Callithrix jacchus: one gene and its partners. Each later gene encodes a partner of the first gene's protein in a complex. Links are inferred from orthologs where the notes say so. Each region holds a gene or a part of one and is shown in the gene's direction. Other genes may lie near its edges.

Evidence for each region.
Region 2: the proteins of RAB9A (region 1) and SGSM1 are in contact, whole or in part, in a crystal structure (PDB 4QXA), measured with the Mus musculus proteins. The link is inferred for Callithrix jacchus from reciprocal best matches to the Homo sapiens genes RAB9A and SGSM1. Residues at the interface, in NP_062747.1 of Mus musculus: Phe37, Thr39, Ile40, Gly41, Val42, Glu43, Phe44, Leu45, Trp61, Arg68, Phe69, Leu72, Phe76; in NP_766306.2 of Mus musculus: Leu256, Leu257, Tyr258, Gly259, Lys260, Asn261, Asn262, Tyr277, Asn294, Met297, Asn298, Gln361.
Region 3: the proteins of RAB9A (region 1) and NDE1 are in contact, whole or in part, in a crystal structure (PDB 7E1T), measured with the Homo sapiens proteins. The link is inferred for Callithrix jacchus from reciprocal best matches to the Homo sapiens genes RAB9A and NDE1. Residues at the interface, in NP_001182257.1 of Homo sapiens: Ile40, Val42, Phe44, Asn46, Gln59, Trp61, Arg68, Phe69, Ser71, Leu72, Pro75, Phe76; in NP_001137451.1 of Homo sapiens: Asp99, Gln102, Thr103, Ala105, Ile106, Gln109, Leu110, Tyr113.

Annotation. Positions count from the first base shown.
Region 1 is NC_133524.1:13,938,090-13,940,778, forward strand, and holds the end of RAB9A (ras-related protein Rab-9A), read left to right. Parts: intron 1-1,051; 5' UTR 1,052-1,077; coding exon 1,078-1,683; 3' UTR 1,684-2,158; downstream 2,159-2,689. UniProt on the Homo sapiens protein: The small GTPases Rab are key regulators of intracellular membrane trafficking, from the formation of transport vesicles to their fusion with membranes.
Region 2 is NC_133502.1:195,848,463-195,852,117, forward strand, and holds part of SGSM1 (small G protein signaling modulator 1), read left to right. Parts: intron 1-1,172; coding exon 1,173-1,760; intron 1,761-3,655. UniProt on the Homo sapiens protein: Interacts with numerous Rab family members, functioning as Rab effector for some, and as GTPase activator for others. Promotes GTP hydrolysis by RAB34 and RAB36.
Region 3 is NC_133513.1:13,585,222-13,588,876, forward strand, and holds part of NDE1 (nuclear distribution protein nudE homolog 1), read left to right. Parts: intron 1-2,775; coding exon 2,776-2,901; intron 2,902-3,655. UniProt on the Homo sapiens protein: Required for centrosome duplication and formation and function of the mitotic spindle. Essential for the development of the cerebral cortex.

The DNA of each region.
Region 1 (2,689 bases):
TGAAGGGCTGTTTGAAGTTATTGAAAGTTATTGAAAGAAACGTGGGCCTGAAATGGTGGCTCACACCTGCAGTCCCAACACTTTAGGAGGCCAAGACAGGTGGATTGCTTGAGCCCAGAGTTTGAAGCCAGCCTGGGCAACATGTTGAGACCCTGTCTCTACAAAAAGTAGGAAAATTAGCAAAGCATGCTGGTGTGCACCTCTGGTTCCAGCTACTTGAGAGGCTGAGGTGGGAGGATTGTTTGAGCCTGGGAGTTCAAGGCTTCAGTAAGCTAGGATGGCCCCACTGCACTCCAACCTGGGCAACAGCGAGATCCTGTCTCCAAAAAAAAAAAAGGGCTGGGTGCGGTGGCTCACGCCTATAATCCCAGCACTTTGGGAGGCCGAGGCGGGTGGATCACAAGGTCAAGAGATCGAGACCATCCTGCTCAACAAGGTGAGACCCCGTCTCTACTGAAGATACAAAAATTAGCTGGGCACGGTGGTGCGTGCCTGTAGTCCCAGCTACTCGGGAGGCTGAGGCAGGAGAATTGCCTGAACCCAGGAGGCGGAGGTTGTGGTGAGCCGAGATCGCGCCATTGCACTCCAGCCTGGGTAACAAGAGCAAAACTCCATCTCAAAAAAAAAAAAAAAAAAAATAGAAGAAGAATAAAAGAAAACAAAACAAAAGAAGCATGTGAACTTGCAAACTTTGGTCTCCTACACATCTCTAACAAATGGTGATGGGGCTTGTTATGAGCAGACAGGGGCATATCACAGAGGAACGGTTCAGAGAAAGGGCTTTTAGGGTCAGACTTGGGCTTGATTGCCAGCTTCATAGTTAGCTGTGACCTGAGAAAGGGGACTAGTGAGCTCTTCCCAGCTGCTTTAGAGAATAATGGTAGAATAGTGGCCCACACATGGCTAAGTGTGTATGACTAATATAATAAGACAAGAAGTCTTATTATATTAGGTATTCCCTAGCTATATGTTTTATTTCAGTTAAATGCTGATATCATGTAGAATAATGTGTAGGTATAAAGGAATGTAATGGTGCCTTTTTATTTTACAGGGTTCTTGAAGCTCTTGTGATTAACAATGGCAGGAAAATCATCACTTTTTAAAGTAATTCTCCTTGGAGATGGTGGAGTTGGGAAGAGTTCACTTATGAACAGATATGTAACTAATAAGTTTGACACCCAGCTCTTCCATACAATAGGTGTGGAATTTTTAAATAAAGATTTGGAAGTGGATGGACATTTTGTTACTATGCAGATTTGGGACACGGCAGGTCAGGAGCGATTCCGAAGCCTGAGGACACCATTTTACAGAGGTTCTGACTGCTGCCTGCTTACTTTTAGTGTCGACGATTCACAAAGCTTCCAGAACTTAAGTAACTGGAAGAAAGAATTCATATATTATGCAGATGTGAAAGAGCCTGAGAGCTTTCCTTTTGTGATTCTGGGTAACAAGATTGACATAAGCGAACGGCAGGTGTCTACAGAAGAAGCCCAAGCTTGGTGCAGGGACAACGGCGACTATCCTTACTTCGAAACAAGTGCAAAAGATGCCACAAACGTGGCAGCAGCCTTTGAGGAAGCGGTTCGAAGAGTTCTTGCTACCGAGGATAGGTCAGATCACTTGATTCAGACAGACACAGTCAACCTTCACCGAAAGCCCAAGCCTAGCTCATCTTGCTGTTGATTGTTAGATTGTTGATGCATTCTAATCAACTCACACATATACACAAAATCAACATGGGGATGGAGAAGAGAATTAGCGTTTGCAGCAGTGTATCATCTAATAAAATTAAACTAAAGTATATTGCTGCTTCATTAGTTGGTGGGAGAAGGGACACATCTACCCATGGAGGAATATATTTACTCAGTAATGGCACCTTCCATTTATGAATTGTAACGGTTGTCTAATAACGTTTCTTTAATTTAAATATGTAAGTTGCAGAGCTAATAAATGAGATGGCCAAGACTTTAATGATAATTAAAATAAGAAACTTGACTATTCTAGAAGTTATACTTGGATTTTTTTTCCTGGGAAAATGGAGAACTACTTTTATATGTGTATGTTTTTATGCAATTAGCATTGTATTCTTGGTTCAGAGAAATAATTTCCTAAAGCAATAATGTTAGATATTAAAGATTAAAATCTAATGTATTTGCGATACATTGTTAATTTACTTCTTCATTCCCTTCAAAATGATTTAACCATTTCTATTTTCATTCTACGTATTAGAATTACTCTCACTAGTAATTACTTGTCATTTGTGTGCCATTCATGTGTCCCTACCCCCATAAATCTTGTTCCACAGTCTCAGGTGGAGGGCAGGCCTCCAGTGGTACAAGAGTTCCTTCATACAGTCCATCGTACATCCAGCTAGATTCATACTGTCTGAATGGAAAGCTTTCCATAGAGAAGAGTTCAGTTTTAAGAAAAAGGCTAACTACTGAACTTGAAGAACAGACAAATGTGCATTTGATAATTGATCTAACAATTACAATGTACTGTGTGGAAGATACAAAATTAGTTTGTTAATGGACTACTTAATACTTTTGTTACTTTCTTTACTCTTAGGAAAAGGCTCCTAGTTGAAGTTAAAACATTCCTTTTTAACAGAAGACACAGCTAACTTTATCACTCTCAGAGGAAATACTAAAAAGGCTTGTACTTTGTGAGAGTAAATGAAGACATCTTT
Region 2 (3,655 bases), on another chromosome or scaffold:
CACTGTCGTCAGTTTGCAGTGTTTCTTTCAAAACCTTCTGTATGACTGTACAGACACAGAAATATGTAGATAATATATAGCAATGTTTGGCAAATTTTTTAAAAATGTGGACATAAATGCCATCCTATATGTTGTTCCAGCCTGGGCAACAGAGCGAGACTCCATCTGAAATAAATAAATACACATATACATACATAAAGATAAAATTATGTACAAATGGTAAAAGTCTATATGATGAAAAGTTACGGTCTCCCCTTATTTTGATTCCCTATTACCCTTCCTCAGAGTAAACTGCAGGTAGGGCGTGGTGGCTCATGCCTGTAATCTCAGCACTTTGGGAGGCCTAGGTGGGCAGATCACTTGAGGTCGGGAGTTTGAGACCAGCCTGGTTAATGTGGTGGACCCCCATCTCTACTGAAAATTCAAAAATTAGCTGGGCATGGTGGTGGATGCCTGTAATTCCAGCTACTTGGGAAGATGAGGCAGGAGAATCGCTTAAACCTGGGAGGTGGTGGTTGCAGTGAGCTGAGATCGTGCCACTGCACTCTAACCTGAGTGACTCAGTCAGACTCCATCTCAAAACAAAACAAAACAAAACAGAGTCAACTGCAGTATTTTCTTATTTCTTTCTAGATTATTCTATGCATACACAAGCACATGGGTCACTTTTGTATTGTCGTTTGAGATGGCGTCTCACTCCCATCATGCAGGCTGGAGTGCTGTGACACAGTCTCAGCTCACTGAAGCCTTGAGTCCCTGGGCTCAGGTGATTCTTCCACCTCAGCCCCCCAAGTAGCTGAGGTGTACACCACCACACCAAAATACCACACTAATTTTTTTGGTATTTTTTGCAGAGACCGGATTTCACCACATTGCCCAGGCTGGTATCGAACTCCTGGCCTCAAGCAGTCTGCCTCCCTCAGCCTCCCAAAGTGCTGGGATTGCAGACATGAGCCACCATGCACAGCCTAGATCACTTTCTTATTTGTCACACATGGGAGCATATCTTACACCTTGTTTTGCCTCACTCTTTTCACTGGCTGTGTGATATTCCACTGCATGCTTGAGCCGTATTTAAGCCGATCACCTGTTGTTGGATATTTAGGTTGCTGCTGTAAGTAGTGCTGCCGTGGACATGTTGGTCCATCTGTTTTTGTGCACCTTGTCCTCAGGTGTTTGAGTCTGTGGATGAGGTGGAGCAGGTGGAGGCTGAAGGCAGATTGGAGGAGAAACAGTCCAAGATCCCCAATGGGAACCTAGTGAACGGCACTTGTTCCCCAGACTCGGGTCATCCTTCTTCGCATAACTTCTCTTCGGGCTTCTCAGAGCACTCAGAGCCCAGTCTGAGCACAGAAGACAGTGTCCTGGACGCCCAGCGGAACACCCCCCCAGTGCTGCGACCTGGGGATGGCAGTGTGGATGACAGACAGAGCAGCGAGGCCACCACATCCCAGGATGAGGCCCCCCGGGAGGAGCTGGCCGTGCAGGACAGCCTGGAGAGCGACCTCCTGGCCAACGAGAGCATGGACGAGTTCATGTCCATCACGGGGAGCATGGATGTGGCCCTGCCTGAAAAGGACAGTGTCGTGATGGAGAGCTGGAGGGGCAGTGAGGCAGAGAAACGTGGCCAGGCGGACAGCGAGGACAACCTCTCGGAGGAGCCTGAGATGGAGAGTCTCTTCCCTGCCCTGGCTTCTCTGGCTGTGACTACTTCTGCCAACGAGGTGTCCCCCGTGTCTTCCAGCGGCGTCACCTACTCTGTAAGTCACCAGAACCCTCCATTCCATTTCCTTCTTTCTAGCTGCAGGAGGGACGGATGTACTACAAGCCGGTTATCCAGAATGACCCAGGAGTCAGACCTCTGCTTCCTTGCATTTCTTTTTCCATTGTGGAGCATTCACTGTAGAAATCCATTTGGGAGAGAAGAGAATATAGTATTTTTAAAAGGCGGGCTTTGCTGTCAACAATGCTGGGCTCAAATCCCACCTTCAGCAGGTCACTTTATGCTTCTGAGCCTCAGCTGTCCTATATGTCTCTTACTTCCTTTTCTGAGTGGTTTTAGAATGAATGAGTAAAGTCTGGCGTGCCTGCTGCATAGTAAGCACTTAGTCAGCAGCAGCCCAGTTCCTTGTAAATACTCAAATTTGCTTTCTTACCAGAAAGACTAAGCCAAAGGATGTCATTTGAAAGGAAGGATTGTATTCATTTATTTTTTAAAAGAACTTGTTATTTCTTTCAAAGATAGGCAAGCCCATCCAGGGTCAAACACTTAGAAAAGGCTGAATATAAAACCCAGAAGATACCTGCTCCATCGCACCCCATTTAACCCTCCCCAGAAGCAATTACATTTACTTACTCTGCCCACATTACCTGGTGTTGACCCCATGTCTCTGACACACTGGCATTGCTGCTTCTTGAAAATTTTTTTGTTTCGGTTTTAGACTTTTTCTAGTGGCTCCCACTATGAAAGAGGATGATGGCCGGGCACGGTGGCTCACGCCTGTAATCCCATCACTTTGGGAGGCCAAGGTGGGCGGATCATGAGGTCAACAGATCGAGACCATCCTGGTCAACATGGTGAAACCCCGTCTCTGGTATAAATACAAAAAACTTAGCCAGGCATGGTGGCACGCACCTGTGGTCCCAGCTACTCAGGAGGCTGAGGTGGAAGAATCGCTTGAACCCAGGAGGCGGAGGTTGCAGTGAGCCGAGATTGTGCCACTGCACTCCAGCCTGGCGACAGAGCAAGACTCCGTCTCAAAAGAAAAAGGATGGTTTAGTTCCCATTTCCTCCCAACCCCCAGCTCTCACCACATGTGACCCCTTCCCATTCCTATCCTTCTAATATAGTTATGTAATGATTTAAATGTATATAGTGTTATCATATTTTATGCATATACTGTAAATGTCAGTGCTTGCATTTTATTTATTTATTTATTTAGAAACGGCGTCTTGGTCTGTTGCCAGGCTGGAGTGCAGTGGTGGGATCTCAGCTCACTGCAACCTCTGCCTCCCAGATTCAAGCAATTCTCCGGCCTCAGCTTCCCAAGTAGCTGGGATTGCAAGTGCATGCCACCATACCCAGCTAATTTTTTGTATTTTTAGTAGAGACAGGGTTTCACCGTGTCGGCCAGGATGGTCTTGATCTGTTGACCTCATGATTTGCCTTCCTCAGCCTCCCAAAGTGCTAGGATTATAGGCGTGAGCCACCGCGCCCAGCCACTTGCATTATTTTAACAATATAGTACATAAGCCGTGCAGTAAACTGTTCTAATTTTTGTCTTTCCTGCAAAAAAAAACAGAATCGTTTTTCCAGATGCGTTTTTATTTTCCCGTTTGCTTTTTCTTAGTTTGCTGCATATTTAAAATCAATTCACCCCCAGAAGTCTTTACCATTTTCCTAAATCTCTTTTCAAACATTCAGACTCATCAGGTTTTCTGTTTGTTCTGTGTGTTTAAGGAGTTCTCTCCAAAAAACTCCTGAGGCCCTGCGCGCCACTGCACTGGTGTCGTCATTCACCGTCTTCCTCCATCCTTGTCTCGAGCTGCCTTTTGTATCGCTCATGTTTTCCTTTCTCTTAGACTCCTCTTTGGTTTAGTTGAACCACATGCCTCAGTGGCATCCACATTTTTGCTTTTCATTTCTCTTCTACTG
Region 3 (3,655 bases), on another chromosome or scaffold:
TCACCAGGTTGCCCAGGCTGGTCTGGAACTCCTGGGCTTAAGCATTCCACCTGCTTTGGCCTCCCAGTGTGCTGGCATTACAGATGCGAGGCACTGCACTTTCTGGAATTCTTTATCTCTGGTGATGCAGATGGTGGTGGCACCCAGTTGCCTAAGCCAGAGCCGCAGAAGATGTCCTCACCTCCTTTTTCTCTCTCCCTTACTCCAAAAAGTCATAATTCATCAAGTTCTGGTAAGTTTACTGGCTAGATAATTTTGGAGTCAATTTTTGCGCCCTCCATCTTCATTCCTACTTTGTTTTTTAGTTTGTTTGTGAGATGGAGTCCAGCTCCGTTGCCAGGCTGGAGTGCAATGGCAAGACCTCGGCTCACTGCAACCTCCGCCTCCCAGGTTCAAGCGATTCTCCTGTCTCAGCCTCCCGAAGAGCTGGGATTATAGGCATGCACCACCATGCCAGGCTAATCTTTTTGTATTTCTAGTAGAGATTGGGTTTCTCCATGTAGGTCAGGCTGGTCTTGAACTCCTGACCTGAGGTGATCTGCGCACCTCGGCCTCCCAAATTGCTGGTGTTACAGGCATGAGCCACTGTGCCCGGCCCCTACTTTCTTTTTTAAGACAAGGTCTCACTCTGTTGGTGGTTGGGCGCAGTGGCTCACGCCTTTACTCCCAGTACTTTGGGAGGCTGAGGTGGGTGGGTGACAAGGTTAAGAGATAGAAATCATCCTGGCTAACATGGTGAAACCCTGTCTCTATTAAAAATACAAAAAAATTAGCTAGGCATGGCGGCGCATGCCTGTAATCCCAGCTACTCGGGAGGCTGAGGCAGGAGAACCATTTGAACCCAGGAGGCAGAATTTGCAGTGAGTTGAGATTGCGCCACTGCGCTCCAGCCTGGTGACAGAGCTAGATTCCATCTCAAAAAAAAATAAAAAAAAAAGACAAGGTCTCTGTTTCCCAGGCTCGAGTGCAGTGCCATGATCATAGCTTACTGCAGCCTCAAAGTCCTGGACTCACATGATCCTCCTTTCTCAGCCTCCCAAGTAGCTAGGACTACAGATGTGTTGCACCACACCAGACTAATTTTTAAAAGATTTTTTTTGTCGATGTAGGATCTTGCTGTGTTGCCCTGGCTGGTCTCGAACTCCTGGCCCCAAGTGTTGTCTTGCCTTGTTCTCCCAATGTGCTGGGATTACAGGTGTGAGCCACTATACCCGGCCTATTCTCACTTTCTAATGCGGGCCACCTTCGTTTCTTTTTTCCTTTTTAAACAGGATCTCACGTCATCACCCACGCTGGAGTGTAGTGGCATGATTTTGGTTCACTGCAACCTGTGCCCCCTGTGCTCAGGTGATCCTCCCACCTCAGTCTCCTGTGTAGCTGACATCACAGGCATGTGCCACTACACCTGACTGATTTTTTTCTATGTCTAGTAGAGGTAGGGTTTCACCATGTTGCCTAGGCTGCTGTCGAACTCCTGGGCTCAAGCAGTCTGCCCACTTTGGCCTGCCAAAGTGCTGGGATTACAGGTGTGACAACTGGGCCTGGCCTCCACCCTCCTTTCTTTTTTGCATTGCTGCAAGTGCTCTCCATCTTTGGCCTTGTCCTTCCTCTGCCTGTCCATGGCCGCTAGGACCAGCTATTTAAGCAGGAGAGCCCGTCATATAACATTGAGATCACATCACTCTCTTCTTTAACAACCTCCAATGGTTTCCCGTTGACACTAAGTCACAGATGCCAAAAGCCATCTATTTCAGTCTGTCCAGGTTCCCCTCTACTCCTCACCCTTCAACCCAGGCCTATCAGACTCCCTCTACCTCCCCTGTAAGTGCCTGGCTGTTTCTCCTCATTCCCCTCTGTGTAGTGTCCTCTTTTTTCCCTACCCACTTACCACTGCCTTACAGTTCTTTCACATTCTTTCACATGCTCCTCATGTGTCACCTCTGCCAGGAAGTCTTCCTTGACTCAGGTTGAGTTTGGAACTTCTTAAATATCCTGGGCACTGATATAAATGTTTATTATCTTGATTGTGATGATGGTTTCTCAGGTGCATATGTATATCAAAACATACCAATGTGTATACTCAAATATATGCAATTTATTGCATGTCAAAATTGTGTGCACATTTCTGTGGCTGCAGTAGACACAGAGTTTTATAATTTACATGGGGCCCGGTGCAGTGGTTCACTTTGGGAGGCTGAAGCAGCTGGTTCACTTGAGGTCAGGAGTTCAAGACCAGCCTGGCCAACATGGTGAAACCCTGTCACTACCAAAAATAAATTAGCCAGGCGTGGTGGTGCATGCCTGTAATCCCAGCTCTTCTGGAGGCTGAGGCACAAGAATCATTTGAACCCAGGAGGCAGAGGTTGCAGTGAGCTGAGATCATGCTACTGTACTCCAGCCTGGGTGATAGAGCAAGAGTCTGTCTCAGATAGTTAATTATAATAATTATTATTATTTATGTGCAGTTTACATTCTTCCCCTTCTTCCTCCACCAGGCTGTGAGTCCCCTTTAGGGAAGGCAGGCATCTTGGAGACATTTAACATGGCTCCCTCGGTCCTATAGTAGGTGCTCAGTAAATATTTGTATATGGCTGTACATGAGCCTTGATGTTAACCCAGGGAATGTAATAGGTGAGTGACTTGTCTTTTGTTTGGGTTTACTTCAGATTTTTGGCATATTTAATAATTTAACACACAAGAAGTTTATTTTTTTTTCCTGTTAAACGTCAACTACTTAACCAGATGTGAGTAATCATTTTCAAACCTTTATCCTAGACACCATGCCACAAGAAGACTGATCTCTTCTGCTGTTTTCACCATGGAGGACTCTGGAAAGACTTTTAGCTCTGAGGAAGAAGCAGCCAACTATTGGAAAGATCTGGCAATGACCTACAAACAGAGGTCAGTCCGAGTTCACCTGTTTTTCCTTTTTTTTTTTTTTGAGATGAAGTTTTACTCTTGTTTCCAGGCTGGACTGCAATGGCATGATCTCACCTACCGCAATCTCTGCCTCCTGGGTTCCAGTGATTCTCCTGCCTCAGCCTCCCAAGTAGCTGGGATTACAGTGTACTGTGAAGGTTTAACTTATACTATCTCAAAACTGCCTGTGAAGAAACTATTAACACCCCCATTTTATAGATGGAGAAACTGAGACTCAGTGAAGGCAGATAACTTGCCCACAGTCACACAGCCTATAAGTAGTAGAGCTGTAATTTGAACTCTAGACCTATGGTCCTGATTATCCTACTATGCCACTTTTCATCATTATTATTTTCTTTTTTTTTTTTTTTTTTTGGAGACAGAGTCTTGCTCTGTTGCCCAAGCTGGAGTGCAGTGGCGCCATCTTGGCTTACTGTACTCTTTGCTTCCTGGGTTCAAGTGATTCTCGTGCCTCAGTCCCCTGAGTAGCTGGGATTACAGGTGTACGCCACCAGGTCTGGCCAGTTTTTTTTTTTATATTTTAGTAAAGACAGGGTTTTGCCATGTTGGCCAGGCTGGTCTTGAACTCCTGGCCTCAAGTGATCTGCCCGCCTCACCCTCCCAAAATGCTGGGATGACAGGCATGAACCACCATGCCTGGTCTTCCCTGTTATTTTCTAGAAGGGTTTATCAGTTCCTAGATGCTGTATCTGGTCAGTTCTTTGTGTGCAGGGAA